Alligator mississippiensis: one gene and its partner. The protein of the gene in region 1 purifies or fractionates together with the protein of each later gene. This does not show direct contact. Links are inferred from orthologs where the notes say so. Each region holds a gene or a part of one and is shown on either strand. Other genes may lie near its edges.

Region 1 (10,011 bases):
ACTCCAGTGTCTAAGCATTTTGTGACCCTGTCATAAAACGAAACCAGATTGATTAGGCATGATCTACCTGCTACAGATCCATGCTGGTGTCCCTGCTGCATTATTTTTCCTGCTGGACTCTCACAAATATGATCCTCCTTCCTCCCCCTCTTGAAAATAGGGATCACATTGGCCCTTTTCCAGTCCTCTGGGACCTGACCCGAGCAGCACAAGCACTCAAACAGCCGTGCCAGTGATTCTGCTATGACACCGGCCAATTCCTTCAGTACCCTCAGATGCAGCTCGTCCGGGCCTACTGACTTGAACACATCCATTTCATCCAAGTGACTCTGCAGCAAGTCAGTGTCAACAGTTGGTGGGCTGGTGTCCCTCTGATGCCCACCTAAGAACCCATTAGGAGACTTATCTTGACCCCTGTTCAGGAACACTGAGGAAAAAAAACTCACTGAATAGCTCAACCTTGTCTCCTCTGTCTGTCACTAATTGCTCCTTCTTGTTCAGTAGGGGTCCTATGCTGCCCTGCGCCTTCCTTTTATTTCCTACATACCTAAAAAAAGACTTTTTGTTGTCTTTGTGTTGCCAGCCACAGCTGTGTAGTAGCTTTGGCTTATTTAACTGCCTCCCTGCAAGTGCGGGCCAACTAGGTATACTCCTCCTTAGTAGCTTCCCCCTGCTTCCACCGCCTATATGCCTTCTTTTTTGCCCTGAGACTCCCCTGGATTTCCCTGTTTAGCCAAGAAAGTTTTTTGGCTCCTTTCCCCCTTTTCCCTCGTAGTGAGATAGTCTCCCTCTGTGCCCAAAGGATCGCTTCCTTTAGAAACAACTACCCTTCCTGGACTCCCATCTTGTCAATACTCTTATCCTGCAGTGCAACATTGACTAGACTCCTGAGCACACTGAAGTTAGCCTTCCTGAAGTCAAGCACTTCCACCCAACTAGTTATCTTACTCACCCTATGCCATATAGTGAATTTGATTGATTAGTGCAATGACACTACAAAATTAGTTGAAAAAATGTTAAACTTCTAATTTGGTAGCATTCTATATCCACTTTGCACTGAGACTACATGAGATGCAAAGCAAGGCTCAACAGGACCATTAATGTACTGCCATTTTATAAAGTGCATCAACATTTTGTTTTCTAGAGCAGGGGCTCCCGAACTGTGGTACACATGCTCCTGGGGGTATGCAAGACATCTCTGCGGGATATGCGGGAGAAATTGCGTAATGGTGGATTTAATTTTCATAATAATAGGCATTTAAGATGTTAAAATATAAAATGTATTCTGGTAGGGGTATGCAGGCAACTGGTAAATCTGGAAACGGGTACGCAATATGAAAGAGTTTGGGAACCTTTGTTCTAGAGCATTTCAACTAGCAACACCCAGTTGTGAATGGTTCTGGGGCCACATAATCAGTCTGTATTAAACTAAGTCAGGGGTGTTAAGTGTGTTTGCCCCTCCTCCCCTGAGCAGATTTGGCCAACAAACCATGTTTGACATCCTTGCCCTAACTGAAGTCAGCAAATATGCTCTGTTTTTAGACGACAACCCCCCCCCCCCCCCCCCCCCCCCCATCATTTGACTGCATGTGTTGCATTAGGGTAGTTACATTATTTCTGGCTCCAGGAAAGGTATATCCAATGCGCGCACACAACCAATTTAAACATGTTCAGTAAGAAGTCACAGGTGATAACTTGAAAGGCCACAATCTGTGAGTTATTAGCAGGAATCCTGTTTTTTCTGATTTAAAAATATCCCCAATTTTTTATTTAAAAAAAGTAACCCCAACTCCACATTTTTCCATGATTTAAATGAAACACCACATTTATATATGTGTGTGTGTGCGCGCGTATGTATGTAGATATAAACCAAAAATTGGGGATTTTTTTTTTAAATCAGAGAAAACCAGGATTCCTGGTTATTAGTATCATTGTGAACTGGTAAGCTCATGTAGACATCAGTTCAACCTGACTCACGTTTTCATGTGACTATTACAGAATGTTTAAAATATTTTTCCTTCGACAACTGATGCAGTTGACTTCATGTGTTTATATTTTCTTGAACAGTAAAACAACACTGAGGAGTTTTACTTTCTGGTTCTCCAACAGTAACACAGTACCATTGTGTTTGGATTTTCAGCATTGCAGCAGAATGTTTCAACTTGAAAAATAAATAAATCTTATTCTTAGGCAAAGTGTCAAAGAAGTTTATAAAACCATTTTAAGTCTTCATGGGTTTAGTATGCAACTTGGCACTTTTTTCTCTATTTTGCAAGATAGAAAAAAAGGTATGAAGCTTTAAGACCTCTCAACCAAAATTCACTCAAGTCATAGGCAACTGGTAGGAAGTGCACATGCCCCCCTTACGGAGTGGTGCCCCCTCTGACAGCTGACACTGATACTGTCGGCTGATACTTCTGTGGGTGCCCCCACCAGATTCAGGAGGCACCAGTTACTCATGACTCAAGTGAAATGGTTTGGGTTTGTAAAGAATGCAGGATTCAGTTAGTACTACTGTAATCCTACCTGTATCCCATACTTAAAAGCAAGCACGCATATAAATGTCTGAAGAAGCAGGATCTATGAAACTTTAGCTATATCTAGGAACTGCCTATCAACTTTTTCGCATGCTCATCCTGCTACCCCTCAAAGATTCTCTAAGAAGCTGAATGACTCTTACTGTCTGTCACAGTCCATGATTACAGAAAGTTCCTTCAATTAAACTGCTGAGACTCAGTAATAAGATATATTTTCTGAGAATGATTCATATTGACCACCTCATCTATGCTTAATTATTCACACAGCGCTCTCTAAACTCACAAAGTTCTGTCCTGGCTTGCAGTGAGATTAATATAAAATCTGTAAAGAGGATTGTCTGGGCACAGGCCAAGGCTGGATCAACATATAAGCATAACGCCTTGTGAGGACAAGCAACTTGCCACAGCCTGAGTCACAGAGTGAGACCAGAATCTCAACTTTCACTTCAGAAAATTCTCTAAGCCTCATGGATAAAAAGAAAACATGAACCGAGTGTAACTGATGCCAGCTTGCATCTGCAGACAGCCTGAAACAAGTTGAAGATTATACCATTTATTTTAAGTCTGAAGCCTGCTACCCAGTTTGGTAATGCTAAAGACCATCTAAACTTGCCTGTATTTTAAACACAGTTGTAGCAATATTCCTCAATTATGTGATAAAGCTGATTATGCTATTGTTTTACTTTAATATGTTATTTGTAATATATCAACTTTTTGGAGGAAGGATGGAGAGACTGGTTGGGGACCTAGGGAGTGACAGAATGAATGGGGAGAGTCGCAGACCAGAACACATACAATTGCACTTGCAAGGTGTAAATGTTTTGTTTTAATTTATCACATGGTTTACATTTTGCCCAAATAACTCTCAGACAAATGCTGGAAACAATACCCAGCAGAAATAAATTATTCCTTACCATTCCTTAGGATCTCACTTTTGCTTATTTTACTCCAGTTTGGTGAAGCACTTCTATTCCTGCAAACTTCCAATTCTCTAACCCCATTTCAAAACCTCTCTCTCTCTCTCAGTTGCATTCTTTTCCCCACCCCTTACTCCATGTATTTGCCTTAGAATAATGTGGTTGTTTGGTATTTGGTTATGCACAGCACAGAAGGCTTGCACTGAGGTAGAAAAGGGCCTCTTGGGAAAGGAAGGAAGGAAGAGAGGCTCCAAACATATTATGGGTTAATAGGCTGGGTCACACCCATATGCACACAAAGGGTTCCGGGTATGTTCTGTTTTGGTCTTACCCTACCCCCAAAGAGCTGCCTCTTTCTCTCTTAAGTCAGGTGTTTTAAAGCTGCTGTCTTAGTTGAAGAGCAACTGAAACACACTCCAAGTGCAGGCATTAGCACCCTAGGTGGTGAACCTGGCTCTCATTATGCTTGTGACACTAACATTTTGCCGAAGTAACAGAACACATAGCCTACATGACATAAGCCTGCCAACACATCACCCCAGGAAGGTAGGGAAACCACCAGCCAATTGCACTACCCAAGGCCCAGGAAAAAGCTGTGGAAAGGGGCAAGACATCACCCAATAGACTCCTTCATGGAAGAACCTCCAAATCATACCAATTCAATTCTGCAGATGCTTCCTCAGCCCGATGAAGGGTATTTGTGCCCAAAAGCTTGCTAAGAAGACTGTTTCCTACTATTTGAGTTGGTCTAATAAAAGATATTGGATGAGCCTTGTCTGCCTATGTCCTTAGACCAACACGGCTACAACCTATACCCCTGAACCAATTCAAATGAACACTCCCTAGGGCAACCAAATCCCCTACTTTAGAGCAATGAATCAGTCCCCAGTACCTCTTCATAATGCTCTTTTCCAGGCCAAATGCAGGTAGCCTGCTGCTCAGCCTTCTCTCCTTAGATCTTGGTCTCTCTACACTTCCTAGCTAGCAATGTGTCACTGACAGTATCCTCAACTCAGGCCTGATGTTGGTGGGAGCCTAAAAGATTCTGAACCCTTCCCCCAGGTAGCTCAGACAGGAGCATTTATGCTGCTGGGTAATTCTTCACTCTTCTCTGCAAGCCCTGGAGACCTTCCTGCTTGGGACGAAGATGCTGGGAGAATCCACTCTGTACTGGGCCCAGCAAGCAAGCTACATGCAGTCCTCAGACTTACCACACAATTGGTTCCTGAAAACTATGTTTTAAGTTGAAATGTAACTTGGAACCAATTTTCTCATAAGAAACATAAATGGGAGATTGGTTCCTGAAACAAGGCCCGATAGCCTATTTTCACTAAAAAATACCCCAGAATTTTGTACTCGATCAATTATAGATGAGTAATATAGCTACATTAATGTATTTATATTGTAAATAGCCATCATATTGGTTTGGTAGGAATTCTTTGAGGTGACTTTGCTGGACTTTTTGAAAAGCTCTTGGTTGGACTTTTTGAAGGGTTCTTGGCTGAAGTCTTCTCAGGAGTCTTGGCTGCAGGTTTTTCTGGAATCTTGTCTGCTTTCTTAAAGAAAGTGTCCAAGGCAGTTTGGACAGATGTTCTCCAGGGAGATGAGCGACGCAGTGAACTTGTTTGCTGGCGTGGAGTCGCATGGAATCAAGCATTGTAAAGTCAAACAATGCTTGGTGTCAACAGGGTGTCAATTTATAAACGTTGTATGTGCGAAACGTTGTAATTCGAAATGCTGTAAGTTGAGGACTGCCTGTACTTCCTTTTTCCAGAGCATGTTAGAACATGGCAGGTTAAAAGAAACACTCCGGTGGTGCTGCCAAACTACTAGCAAGAGACAGCTAAGAACCCCCCTGAGGAGAGGAGCCTGGGGTTGGAAAATTTAGAAAGACCAGCCTTGCACAACCAATTTTTTTGTTTTTTCCTTTTAAGATTGCTCTTAATGGGGCCAGGCCTCCATGTGAGATTAATTGCTCTTTACTCAGGTGGGCCAGTGCAATCCTGACATCGTGCATTGTGCTTGCACAAGGTGCTGAAACAAATCCAAGCTTTCTTTTACTCTGGAGAAACTTAAGTCTGGTTTCAAATGTCATGGTGAAGACCCCATCCCAGTGCTTCACAGGCAGCAGGGGCCAGTTAGCCAGCCAAAAAAAACCCTCCCTGGAGTAAAGCCAGGCCGTGTTGCCAGGTTATTCTCACGTCAGACACTAGCTTGCTCTTCACTTGCTGAAACCCAAGCTGGACCCTTCCCTTTTAAAATATGTGGTTGGCACAAAGGAGAAACAACCACAGCGGCACCGAAGATAAAGAAAGGTCTGACACTGTGTGAGATGCATGTCTTTAGCCAGGGGGAAACTTTTCCAGAAATTCTGCTCTGTGATTCAGCGTTGTTTTATGTCGGCAGCTGCGAGGGCCAGACAGAAACCTGAGACCATCTCAAAAGGAACCAAATCACTACTGTGGTCGAGGTGATATCTTTTATTAGACCATCAGGATTTTTACAAAAACTAGTTGGTCTAATAAAAGGGATCGCCTCTACCACGAGTCCTGATCGCTTTTGCCTCTACACCCATATGGCTACAGCCTGGATACCTGACACATCAAACAGAACCAGGCCCCTGGCGCCCTTGAGAAAACCCCGAGGGGATCAGAAAAGCTACGAAATGGCCAGGCCTTGTCCTGCAGAAGAAGGGGAAGAGCAAGACACAGGCACTGAAACGTGAAACACGAAAGGGCTGCAAAGGAAGGCCAGAAAGGGCCCCACACACACACACACACACACACACACACACACACACGCTGGAAAAGCCCCTTTGAGGCGCAGCGACAGGCCCAGGCACTGCGCTGCGCTGCGCGACCCCTCCCCCACCGCCCGCCCGGCTCGGCTCGGCTCGGCTCAGGGCCTCGGAAGGGGGCGGGGCCTGGAGAGCGAGGCCTAGAGGGCGGGGCGCGCGGCGGGAGGTTCCGGCGTCGCGGCGCGGTGACGCGTGCGTCGGCGGGTGACGTCGCGGCGGCTTGCGTCCGATCCCGGTGCTGCCCTCGCCGCCCCTCGGCCTGACCCGGCTCGTGCCCGCGATGGCGAACGTGGCCGACACGAAGCTCTACGACATCCTGGGCGTCCCGCCCGGCGCCTCCGACAACGAGCTGAAGAAGGTAGCGCGGGGGCCTGGAGGGGGAGGGCGCCGCGGCCCAGGAGGCCCGGGCAGGCGGCGAGGCCGCGGGCGCGCGGGGCAGGCCGGGAAGGCCGCGCCGGTTGGGCCCGGCCGCGGGGGGAGGGGAGGCGCGGCGCGGCGCGGAGGCTTCGGGCCTCGGTGCGGGGGCGGCCACCGTGACTGTGCGCTTGGCCGGCGGCGCCAGGCCCGGCCGGTGCTGGGGCCTGTCCTGGTGCCGCCCCCGCCCCGTGCCGCTGGTGGGGCCGGGAACAAAGAGATCGCGGGGAGCCCGGCGGCCCCCTCCAGCACCCGCGGTGCCGGGCCCGGAGCCGGCTCAGCTCATGGCCGCTGCTTGCTCGTGGCGCTGGGCCCTGGCGGCTGCGCCGGTTCAGGACTTTGGATCCCGCCATGGGGGGGGGTGAGGGTCAGCAGAAGTTGGTCGTCGGTCAGAACCGGGAGCGACAGGCAGGGAAAGGGCGGCCGGAGGCCCCTCCCCGCCGTGGAGGTGCAGCTCTTCTCTGACCAGCGACCCGGGCTGGCTCCGAGCCTGGCTCAGCTTTTGCCAGAACTGGGGATGAAGTTGCCAGCTCCCCGCACCTGTTTGCCGAGGGGTCACTCAGATTCGGGGCTGCGTGTGGACCTTAGAAACGTGCCTGCAAGTTTGTTTTTAAATGCAGTTGTGCCTTCGCGTGCGTGCCGGTCTGTTCTGGTGGCAGCTTTGTACAGCAGCACGGAGACGAGTGAAAGAAAATGGACTCGCTGCGGATTTATCATGATGCTGATGGGACGACGCAAACTCCGAATATTGCGCTGATCCAGCTTATTCACTCTTATCTCCTAATAAAATACTAATGCAGGCACTGGTTCTAGAAGTGAGAAATGGCACTAAAGTAACTCTGTTTATTTAAATGAAGTTGGGGGGGAGGGAAAAACCCTTGTGCTTAACACCACAGTAAGTGTGTCCGTTCTGGGGGGGTTGCTAGTATACCTGTTAACTTCCTTGTGTAACGTCCCCAAGGCTGCGGGATTCTGCCATTGCTGGCTCCTGTGGTGGATTCTGAAATTCTTGTTCTATAAATCCATCTCTCTGTTTTGTTTTGCCCTTTTTGCATGCATAAATCCCCAATAGTGTAGCAAACTAATAAAAATGGAACTATAGAGTAACAGGGCAACTCTCTACACAAAATGGAGGAAGATGGAAGCTCTAAGGTTTTTCTTTCTTTTCTTAAATAAAAATGAATACAATTGAGAGGTAGTAGTCTAGAGAAACAGTTTAATCTAAATGCTCTAAACTCTAGAGACTTGAATGCAGTCCTGTAAAATGGGAAATCGGTAGTTGACCCCATAAGATATATAGCACACACTTGAGCATAGCAGCTCTTAGAATGATGATGGGAAGTACCATTCAAGTTGATAAATGATTTACTGTTATATTCAACAGTATATAAACCCCCTTGAAATGCCTTGCTTTTTCTTGCCTTTTGGGGGGATGAGGGGGGAGTTTAGAATATGCTGAAAAAGTCAAGGATGCCTGAATTTCTGAGCCTTGTCTCTACCCTTCAGGGATTTAACTTGTAGTTTATGGTGAAGGGCTTTTTCAAGTAACTGTAATAATTGATTGAAAACTTTCTTAACAAAACTTTACCTCACTCCCCTAAAATGGTAGTGGTAGGGCATGCAAAGTGATGACTAAATAGTATAGAGAAAATAATGCCACTCGGAACGTGATTCAAAAGGAAAGAAGCCATTTGAAAATTGTCTTATTTTTTACATGACTTCCTCCTGCTACTGCTGTTTCCAGTCAGGAATTGATCAAGATGGGAAGGCGCACATACTTCCATACATTTAATATACACTTAATTCAGAGTGAGGCTAAATCTTCTGTGGGTGTTATGTGGTGAGGGAGGGAGGAAAAAACTGAAGATGGTGTTGATTGGGAAGCTGAAGCAGCCATTTTGTAAACATTGATGGACTCTTAAAGACAGTGACAAATTGGGACATAACTTGCATACATGATCGTTTAATAAGTGATAAACTGTGAATCTGTAACCTCTAACTAATGATGCTTATGAGCTGTTCATATTCAGAAATAATTACATGGTTGCGTGTCAGTACTGAATATTGTTGACAGAGTTTAATTTCAGTGTAATATGTAAACTAGAATCAACAAGGATGGTGATTTTAAATTCTAATGCATAGCAGTCTACTTAATTCGCGGCAAGACAAAGCAGTTTTCGTGGCTTGGTTGCCGCACAAAGGCCATTTTGTGGGCATTTCCCAGCAGCCCCGCCCCTCGCAGCTGATTGACAGAGAGGCATATTTACTTTGTGTATGTCAGTAGCAGACAGTAACTCTCAGTCACTGATTTATGTCTGCAGTGATTGTTGCGTTGTCTTTGTATTGGGGAAGGCATTGGGACATTCTAAAACAGTGTGTATATATAAATAATACAGTGGGGCTTTTTAGGTTGATTTCATGGGAAATTGTGCCAATGCAGAATTTCCTGCTGTTTTTGAACAGTGCTGTTTTTTGTGGATTCCACAAAAACCAAGAATTAGGTAGACCCCTAATTAATGATGGGAGCCAATTTTAAACCATAGTTAATCCTGCATTCAGTAAAATTAAATCATCAAACTCTCATATATAACTTTGGTTGTATAAACAGGCTAAACTTCTGTTTGTTTTAATCCACCGTTTCTCAAAGTGGGTCACAAGAATATTTGAAAGGGTCATGAACAAACTTTTAAAAATGGAGAAAAACACGGGAACCATGGCTTTTCCCTTGCAATCTGGCAAGGTTCCAGCGAATGAGGAGGGGCCCAAGCATCTACCATGTCCCACACGCACCCACTCCTGCCCCATATACTGGAGGGCAGGGGAGCAGTGGGTCAGGAGTGAGGGGCACTGGGTCAGGACTGGCCATAGATGTTTACAAATGGGTTCCAGTACAAAAAAGTTTGAGAAGCACTGTCAGTACCGGTGGGAAGTGTTTACCTACTTCCAGGAAGCAATATTTAAATCTGTCTTTGAAGACTAGAGATTTGTTGACCTAAATAAGCTTGAAATGAGAAATGGTCACACTAATAGCTTGTGTCATTTTTCCACCCCCAATTAGGCCTACAGAAAACTGGCCAAGGAATATCATCCTGACAAGAATCCAAATGCGGGGGACAAAGTAAGATAATGATGTTTAAAACTAAGTTGTTGTTTTTTTGGTTGTTTTTTTTTTTTTATGCTTCTAGATGTGATGGAAGTACAAGGGTTTCTGAGACCTGCTACTTTAGAAGCTTTATAGATTTTTTTTTTTTTTTACAGTCTGTTCCGTAGAGATACCTGTTTTAGTTGTGACAAAATGGAGACAAAGGCGGTAAGACAAGATGATAGTGAAGCAAAGTTACTGTAC
Region 2 (9,270 bases), on another chromosome or scaffold:
TGCCTTTTGAGGGTAATGAGACAATGACGGGGCGCACGGTAGGGAAAGGTTATGATTTTGCACCTGTGCTGTACTTGTCCATATAACTGGACTTTAGTTTGCAAGGCTGTTAATCAGACATCCTTCCCCAGCAGTGTTTGGATGCAAGATTCATTCTGTACTGCGCTGTCTTTAAAATGACAAAACAAATTGCATTGGGCGGGGGTCTCTGAGGATGACTGTGCCCCGTCCCCTTTGGATTTCTTTTGAGCCATCTGTTGAGTGGCAGGTTGTTGGAATCTCGCATCAAACACAACAGAGCAAATGTGTGCCTCGAAACAGAGCCACCACCATGTTCCAAAACATAAATCATTTTATTAAAAAAATAATAATTTACTGCCACTTATGTACAAATCACAGAAGACCACTCGCTCACAAATACTGACATCTGAGCTCAGTCCAAAGCCTGTTTTCTCTCTCTCCGTCAGCACCTGGAATGGAGGAGGGGAAGCCCGGTTCTGATCAAGTCCCATTCACTTCAGTGAGACCAGGATGTCCCCTGACTCACGGAGTCTGGCTTGTGCTCTGATCTGACCCGTTCGGTACTGCAGGGTCATTTCCTGTGGCGCTCCCAGCTCCCACTGAGGTGACGAGGTGCTGGGGGTGGGAAGCACATCTAGGAACCACGTTCTTTTTGTGTGATGGCAATGCTCTATGACACTTTAAAGCTGTAACTTCCTGTCACCTCCTCCTCTGGTTAGAAGCCTTAATTTCAATTCCCTCCTTTCTCCCACTGATGCACTTTGACCTGAATATTTGCCATGGAAAGTATCAGCTCAGAGAATGATTTTGTCTGGCAAGTTTGACGGGCTTTGGCCAAACTGTTTTCAAGTTACAGGAGAGTGAAGCAGAACCATTATCTTCCCATGCACACGCACTTTTAGAAACAGCTTGGCAGTCTGAGTTTGCTGTCGTACCAGGAGCAAGGCCCGATGTAAACATCTGCTGAATAACAGTTAAGTTAGGAAGTGATTTTATGCCTTAGCTGAGGAATCTGTGATCAGAGTCTGAGTGGAAGACACATGCCAGGCCAGCTCTCAGTAATGTCCAATTTTTTTCCACTAAGTCCCATTCTCAGATTAACTTTACCATCCTGTGACACTCAGCTCGGTGAGCAGGAGACACCTGTGAAAGCAACTGCAGAATCAGCATGCCACGCGTGATGAAAGAGCTGACCACTTGGCAGTTATTTCATACAGCATTTCTGTGATCAGCTCAACAATGTCTGCGTTGCCGATGATGGGGCGGAAGAAGAGGTCTGTGATGAGGGCAGGAGAGATGGACTTCAGGGTGGAGGCCATCAGCAAGATGCGGGCAAAGCGGCCCTGGTCCTCTGGGTGGAGCGGTCCTACAACTTCCTGCAGCGCTCTCTGTGCTTCCCGCTGGAGGCTCTCTATGTACAAGGAGGCCCTTAAACCTGGGACGTCTAGGGAGAGAGAAAGGAGGAACAATTGAAATGTGAATTACGGGCTCTGCTTCCCAGCCTAAGCACCAATCTCAATCCCACTCACTGGCACTTGACTTCCTCTCTGGAATATTTTGGCATATTCCTGCTGCTGCAATCAAGCTTAATTTCTTTCTACTGAGCACACGCATGTGAACAGACAGAAACACACACACCTTAACCATCTATAGCACAGAGACCCTAAAGTACTTCATAAACCATGCAAGGCAGCACCACTGAGATGCAGCCACTTCTGGGGTGGAAGGAGCTCTTTACTACCGTGCAGCATAACCATGGAAGAGAAATACTGACCGGTGAAACCAGGGACAACTCCAGCTTTCCAAATTGTGCCCTGGGATCTTTACTGTCTACGGTCTTATTCAAAATATTTCCCCAAAGCATATGGCAAGGGACTGATTTCCAGAAGTCAGTGGGAATTAAGGATGCTTAGCACCTCTGAAATTAGCCTCTACAACAGTCTGGGCCTCGGTCTACCTGTCTGTAAAATGGGGCTACTCTTCCTACTTTTGAGCTACTGGAATGAAAAGTGTGAAATGTTAACATTATGGATTAATGACATTAAGATAATCCTCCCCATTGCTCACGTGTGTATGTGCGTGCGTGCGCGCACACACACACACACACGTACACGCGTGCTTTCAAGCAGCCCAGACCAGATTCTCTGTGTAGTACCCTCTGCCCTGCTGAGAGCACTCACCAGGGTTGAAAAGAATGGCTCCTTTCAGGTAGGCATACTCCTTAGGGCTCAGGTCCAGGCTCCAGAACGTGTTCAGGCAGCACTGCAGCCGCTGCACCCCGGCTAGGGTGGGTTGTGTCCTCTCAAGCTCCTGCCTCTTGCTCTGGCCATTGAGGAGAATGTTCTTGAGCATGCTGGGGGCCGGGGTCTCCATCACGTCGAATGTCACCATCTCTTGAACCAACCCCAGAATGAAGAGAGGAGCCCAGCAACTGTCCAGCAGGAGGAGCTGGTCCTCCCGGGGCAGCAGCTGGAAGGAGGGCAGGTTCTTCATGAAGCTGACTGTTTTCACCAGGACATCAGAGGCCGCCTGGCAGGTGACCTGGGGTGTCTGGAGGCAGACGGTGCGACGCTTCTGGCACCGGCAGCGCTGCTGGGATGGGCTATGATTGTGGTTCAGGTTTTGGCTCAGGAGGGTATAGAGGATGGCGTTCCGGTTCTCTTCGCTGTGGCACTGGCATCTCTCATAGTCCACGTCCATGCTGCCTGCACTCAGAGCTCTGCCCACCAAGCAGATCCCACTGACTCTGAAGGAGGAGGTGATCTGGGTGCACTTGACAGGCTGAGTCTGTGAGCACAACCGCGAACTCCTGTGCCCGTCAAAGCTCTCCGACTGCAGCCTCTTCCACTGAGCTCAGCTGCCTCAACCCTCTGGCTGCTACGCTCAGTGGTATTTATAAGGCGCTGGCGGTGAGTGGAACACCCCCTTCCACCCTTGACCTCTCTTTGACAAAGCAGCATTCATTAAAAAACAAGTTGACTCTCGCCTGATTGGCTGGGGAAGCGAGTTCTTCATGTGGCGTCAAGAAGTGTTTTCTCAATGAAAGTGCCAGCCAGGGCCAGGAGGACGGGACAGAATGGCAGGCTGGGCAGCTGGCTTATCTCGGTTGTCCAAACAGGATAAACAATGTCGATAACCCAGCCTGTACCATGGTACCAAGGCCCCGATGCGTAATCAGGCAGTACTGTATGACAGGTGTCATTGCCAAGGAGCGCGCACATGCACACACAGCACTTGTCTGGAGCAGGAGCCCGGTGGCAAACAACCTGTAGGCTCTGGCCTTGGAAAGAGCAACCTGGAAGTCATGTTATCAGCAGGTTGTTTGTCTAACCTTGTTGACAGCAGGCTGCTGTCGTTACAGATAACGAAAAGAAACCCAACGGACTGAGGGCATCTGGTTCTCGGATCAAGGCTGGGACCTGGGGTACCTGGTGTCAGAAAAACACGGGGGGGTTTGAGAATCAGATTTCATTAAACCAACATCTCGAGAGAGCCTCTCCCTTCCCTTCTCTTGGTGGTGGATGGTTCCTTCTCGGCCTGGAGGGAGGTGGGCAGTGGGGTCCCGCAGGGTTCGGTCCTCAGACCGGTATTATTTAATATCTTCATCAGCGATTTGGATGAGGGCGTGGAGAGCACCCTCTCCAAGTTTGCTGATGATACCAAGTTATGGGGCAAAGTTAGTACACCGGAGGGGAGGGAGCAGATTCAGGCTGACCTGGACAGGTTGGAGCAATGGGCAGAGAGAAATAGGATGCAATTTAATAAAAATAAATGTAAGGTGCTCCACCTGGGAAGGAGGAACCCCCAGCACACCTGTAGGTTGGGGAGTGTCCTTCTCAGCAGCTCGGAGGCAGAGAGGGATCTTGGAGTCGTAATCGACTCCAAGATGAACGTGAGCCGGCAGTGTAACGAGGCCATCCACAAGGCCAGTCGCACCTTGTCGTGCATTAGCAGGTGCATGACTGACAGATCAAAGGAGGTGACGCTCCCCCTCTACGTGGCACTGGTCAGGCAGCAGTTGCAGTGCTGTGTCCAGTTTTGGGCGCCGCACTTCAGGAGGGACGCGGGGAATCTGGAGAGATCGAGAGGAGGCCACTCGCATGATTCGTGGCCTTCGGGAAAGACCCTACGGGGGAGGTCGAGAGAGCTGAATCTCTTCAGCCTTCACAAGGGACAGCTGAGGGGAGACCTTGTGGCCGCCTATAAATTTATTAGGAGAGGTCAACAGGGGATAGGGGAAGCGCTGTTTACTAGGGCGCCCCAGGGAGTGACTAGGAATAAGGGGTGTAAACTAGTTGAGAGTGGATTTAGGTTAGATATTAGGAAGACATTTTTCACAGTCAGGGTGGCCAGGATCTGGAACGGGATCCCAAGAGAGGTGGTGCTATCACCTAGCTTGGAGATCTTCACGAGGAGGATATAGTCACCTGGCTAGGGTCGTCTGCCCTCGGCCCTCTTTCCTGCCAGGGGCAGGGGTCGGACGTGATGATCCACTGTGGTCCCTTCCGACTCTGCAATCTATGAATCTATGGAACACGGGGGGGACACGGGACTGAGTCCGTGGCTCCCAGCCCCGCTGCCTGCAGCCCGTCTCCATCCTCTCCGTGCGTCGCCTTTCAGGTAGTTGAAGCCGCCATCGAATCCCGCTTCAGCCTTCTCTTCTGCCGGCCCACTGCTTTCAGCTGCTCTGGGCCGTGGCGTTCGCGTCGCAATGCGCCGCACCCCGCCGGATCTATCCCGCGCCGTCTTCTTGCGCTGCGGAGCCGCCCAGGCGGGAGAGCAAGGGAGGAATTGTGTGGGAGAAGGTGGGGGGGGTCCTTCCCCTCCCCACAACCCTGCGCTGCTAGGGGTGACCTCTCCCTCTGTGACCCCTGACCTCCAGGCAAGGCTGTGACCCCATCACTCGTGTCACCCCCTTCCCCCACGAATCCTTTCAACCATCCCTTTAAAGGCCTAACCCAGCCGCGACCCCTGCCCTCCGACGCCCAACGGGCCACGCGGAGCCTTCTGGAAGGCGCGAGACGGCGCCGGTCTCTATAGCAACCAGCGCCGCGCGCCTGTGCCGCGCTAAGCGCCCGCCCTCCTCCCCCCCCCGTCTGCGGATTGGGCGCGGCGGCGGCCAATCAACGAGGGGTCGCGGGAGGAATGCGGCGCGTTGATTGGTGGGGGAGCCCGTTTCCGCTTCCGGGCGAGGGGTCGCGGGCAGCGGTTGCGGGTCGCCATGGGGCTGAGCGCGGAGGAGGTAGCGGAGCAGGAGGACCGCTTCGATGGCATGCTCCTGGCCATGGCGCAGCAGCACCCGGGCGGCGTGCGGGAGGTAGCGCCGGGCGGCCGGGGGGCGGGGGTCTTCCTCTTCCTCCTGCAGCCTCTAGGCCGTGCCCCTCGCCTCGGCGCCTGATGCCCCTTTCCGCCCGTACTTAACCTCGACTCCCCTTGCTGCAGCGGGAGCCCCCCGCTCCTTGCGCGTGTGCGGACAGTCCGGCTTCGCGCCCGTCGTGGGACGAGCGCCGGCGTGTCTCGAGGGGACTTGCTGGTTTTGCCAGCTGCTTCTACAGGCGTCGAGTGACGCAGTCTCAGCCCCGCCGCCGCCGCCAAACACGTCGTTTTCACGGGCTCTCAGAAGCACGAAGCACCGACTCCGGCGGAGCGAGTAAAGCAGAGGCTCCCGACCGCTAGGTCGCGGCGGGTCGGCTGCCGCGCTGGAGGTCCGGAAGCGACCGGCGTACCGTGGAGCGGCAGCCAATCCTCTTTTTAGATTGAGCCTAAAAAAGGGTCGGCTGTCGCTCCCCAGTACACCGGTCACTTCCGGTCCGTGGCTTGCCGGTCCGCAGCCTAAAAAAGTTGGGATGCCCTGGAGTAAAGCCCCTGAAGTACATAAGAAGGGTGCCCAAACGTTCCCGTCTGTGAAATGGGAACAAAGGCATCAACCTTTGCGAAGTGCCGTGGGATTTGTCCACGAAGAGACCGCACTTCATAAAGATCCAGAGGCCTTAAGCAGCTCGGGCCCCGTCTTCCGGGGTCGTTTTAGGAGCACCGAACATTCGTGACAGCGCCATGCCTGCGGCCCTCCCGGTGTTTGCCAGCAGTCCGTGCATTCCTTAATGTTGCAAATGTTTTCCTCCGTTTAACTCCCCGCGCTTAAAGGAGGCATCGGCGGTTGCGCTGGGAAAGCATTCGCACTTAAACGGGTTGTCACGTTAATTATTAGCATGGCGCCATTGGCGTGCGGGGGCTGAACAGCTATCCAAGAAAGGCGAGGGTCTCGCCTCGTGCTGCAGTTTAGGCAGCGTCCAGGCTGAGGGATGAAAAGCTCGCTGGTGAGTAGCGGTGTGGCGGGTGGCTCGTTTGCCACTCGGGTCCCTGAGCCTGGCCATGCTCTGGCTGTAGCCATGGTGGAAGGAAACTGTTGAAACACAAATGCGATGTCTCTGGCCCCTATAGAAGGGGTTTCTTTGCTGCTGATCCTCCCAATCAAACAGTTGCTGTGGCAACTGGTGCACAGCGCTTCAAGCAACCTAGGAGGATAAGGTATAGGAAGGCTAAGTCATTGTGGTTCTTGGGAATGAGTCTGCCCACACTGGCTATGGAAACGAATAGCAACACTATTTATACCAGCATTGCGCTGCTTCCAGCTGAGGTGTGGGCAGAGACCATCTTGGTGAGCACCACGTGCTCTGCTGTCTCCTCTAATCTAGTCCGTCAGAGCCAACTGATAAAAGTGGTTCTTTGTCTTCATGTCCCATGTATCTGGACCAGCATGCAATGCCGTTCTTCAGTTCGAGCTGCTACTTCTCTCTGTCCGTGGGCTCCCTGTGAAAACCTAATTAGAGGAAAAGGCCAAAAATGCTTCACCAAATCGTTGGAGCGACCATGTAAAGATTCTGCTAGATCAGCTGCTTGGAAGTAAGAACAAGGAAGCGAGAAGTTGTCTTCTCGGCTACCTGCTGAGTGAAGACTTGCTCATCGCAATACTGCTAAGATCTAGATTTGCTCCCTTTCCTTGTAGGCTCTCTTGCAGCTCAGACTCTTTAATTCAGGTCTCTTGACGTTACCTGTCTTCTTGTGTTTTTCTTTTTCCAGCTTGTGAACACGTTCTTCAGTTTCCTGAGACGGAAAACGGATTTCTTCACAGGTGGAGAAGACGGAGTGGCAGAGAAGGTAAAAAAACAACTAATCCTTCCCCCTCACAGACCCTTATGTGTCATTTTTATGTGCTCGGGCCCAGCTGTTCACGTCGAGATGCTTCCTGCCTCTGGCAGACATCTGACCTGTGTGCCACAAAGTGCTTTCTTCCTGTTGCCGTGTGGTATCTTCAAACTGTGCCCAATGTTTGCGATGCTGCAGAAATATACCAGTGAAACAAGGTAGGAGTGAGCTGCCCTTGTCCATGGCTGAGCTTGTTTGCTTGTCGAATAATATCAATGGTGAAGGTTTTTGTCACGCTGTGGCCAAAGGGTTGTTTGAAAAGCAAGCCTGCCAGACACACTGACTTAACGTTGACAGACACCGCGGGATCAATAACCCTAAGTTACCTTGTTTATTCATCTCAGAAAAGCACAAAGTCCGTCTCCCTGCCCATGCAGCTGCCCCTGTGCCTCTGAGTGCAGGGCTGATACAATCCAAATGTGTTGGGGGCACCGGAGGTGGTCAAAATAAGGAAAAGCCAGCAGCGTGTGATACACACTTGATGCTTTACAACCCCACCAGTGGGTGGCTTCAGAACATAGCTCAGGAAACATTGCCATGTCATATATAGAGGGAAAGCTTACAATTGCCAGTGCTGCATAGAATATACCTGCTGCCTAACCTGCAAGGGGAGGGAGATGGGGAAACCCCAACACAGAGCTAGGGTGAAAATGAGTGAAATCTGCAAAAGAGCTGCAAGAGTTTTTTTAGGAACAAATCTTCCCCATCTCACAGGGACAGGCATATATGTGTAGAATCAATGTGTGACGATGATTAGCACTGTATTTATAGAGCTTCTGCCGATTGGCACTCCAGAGCATAAGCAAGAGGAGCTTTGAGGCATTGGCTAGAGGCAGGGACTGACTGTCAGGATGCCTGGCTTCGGCTGTGCGCTACATAGGAGGGGATGGCTCCCTGCCCCAGTGCCCCCTCTGGAACTGGACTAGAATACTGGTTTTTGTAAAGTGCTTTGCAAGCCTCTGAACGAAGGACACTGAATACAAGCCCGTGCTGATTGTGTCTCTGTCAACACAGTCCCCCAGCTAGAGCTTGAAGAGGCCATTTATTCTCTCCCACTTCCCCCTTCCCCTTTGGAACTCTTAACACAGCCCCTTGGGCCTGAAACATTTAATTGAATCTAGCAGGAGGGAAACCACCAGGCTGAACCACCTTTTGAGACTGGGGAAAGATTGTGGAAGGACTCCTATCCCCTTCCATTCTCCTCCCAACATGATGGACCTGCCTGGTATTTTTATGGCTCTTTGGAGACTTGCTTGTTCTCCCATGTTTGTAGGCAAAGGCTTCATAATCTCTTCTTCATCGTTGCAGTCTGCAGTCAGTGCTGTAACTAGCTGGGGGTTTGATTTCTGTAAGCTGCTCTGGGATAGTTCATCCTGAAAGGGGCTGATCATGTCCTTGGAACTTCTTTGAATTAATATCTTACTCCTTGGCATAAGAGATCTTCTTTTCCCTCCCATCTGGCTCCTGACCCTGGATAGTATCCTTCCTGTGGAAGCATTACCTTGATGCCTGTAGGAAGGCTGAGTTTCACTACGTGCTGTCTTGCACGGTACCTGTGGTATTATCAATAGCTGGGTTATTGCTCCAGGTTGGCCTCTTGCCTGTTTACTTAGCTCTGCCTCTGAACGCTACAGCCCTTTACATCGTAGACTTTGATGTTCTGCCTTTCACAGCTGTACCTGAGCCCTTGCGATACAAGAGACTTGAGATTGCTTGGAGAGAAGATTATATATGAATTTATTCCTCAATGATATCATTCATCTTTCAGCTGCCTCTCCTAGAAATTTTGGCAGGGGGATTTACAGAATGGACTGAACACACATTCTCTAGCACGTGGGGAAAGTTCAGGCTGACAAAGCCTTCCTTAATGTGCCTGGCTCGTGTCTGCATCCAGTTCATGAAAGCATGTTTCACTTGCATGACTTCTTCCATCTGGAGTTCTCAAAGGACTTGACAAGTCTGGCAGTTATCAAAGTCTTATGAGTCCCCTGATGAGTTAGGGTGGTGTTATCCCCCTTCTGCAGAGGAGCGAGGCACAGAGAC

Evidence for each region.
Region 2: the proteins of DNAJA2 (region 1) and NUDC purify together in Homo sapiens (affinity purification with mass spectrometry; 4 studies listed by BioGRID and IntAct, with this or other methods). This does not show direct contact. The link is inferred for Alligator mississippiensis from reciprocal best matches to the Homo sapiens genes DNAJA2 and NUDC.

The regions. Positions count from the first base shown.
Region 1 is NC_081833.1:55,126,897-55,136,907, forward strand, and holds the start of DNAJA2 (dnaJ homolog subfamily A member 2), read left to right. Parts: upstream 1-6,438; 5' UTR 6,439-6,531; coding exon 6,532-6,609; intron 6,610-6,980; exon of another isoform or gene 6,981-7,459; coding exon of another isoform or gene 7,460-7,480; intron 7,481-9,723; coding exon 9,724-9,783; intron 9,784-10,011. UniProt on the Homo sapiens protein: Co-chaperone of Hsc70. Stimulates ATP hydrolysis and the folding of unfolded proteins mediated by HSPA1A/B (in vitro).
Region 2 is NC_081829.1:2,773,791-2,783,060, reverse strand, and holds the start of NUDC (nuclear migration protein nudC), read left to right. Parts: upstream 1-5,198; 5' UTR 5,199-5,242; coding exon 5,243-5,338; intron 5,339-7,101; coding exon 7,102-7,179; intron 7,180-9,270. Other genes in the region: NR0B2 (nuclear receptor subfamily 0 group B member 2), read right to left, coding at 1,185-1,465, 2,202-2,721. UniProt on the Homo sapiens protein: Plays a role in neurogenesis and neuronal migration. Necessary for correct formation of mitotic spindles and chromosome separation during mitosis. Necessary for cytokinesis and cell proliferation.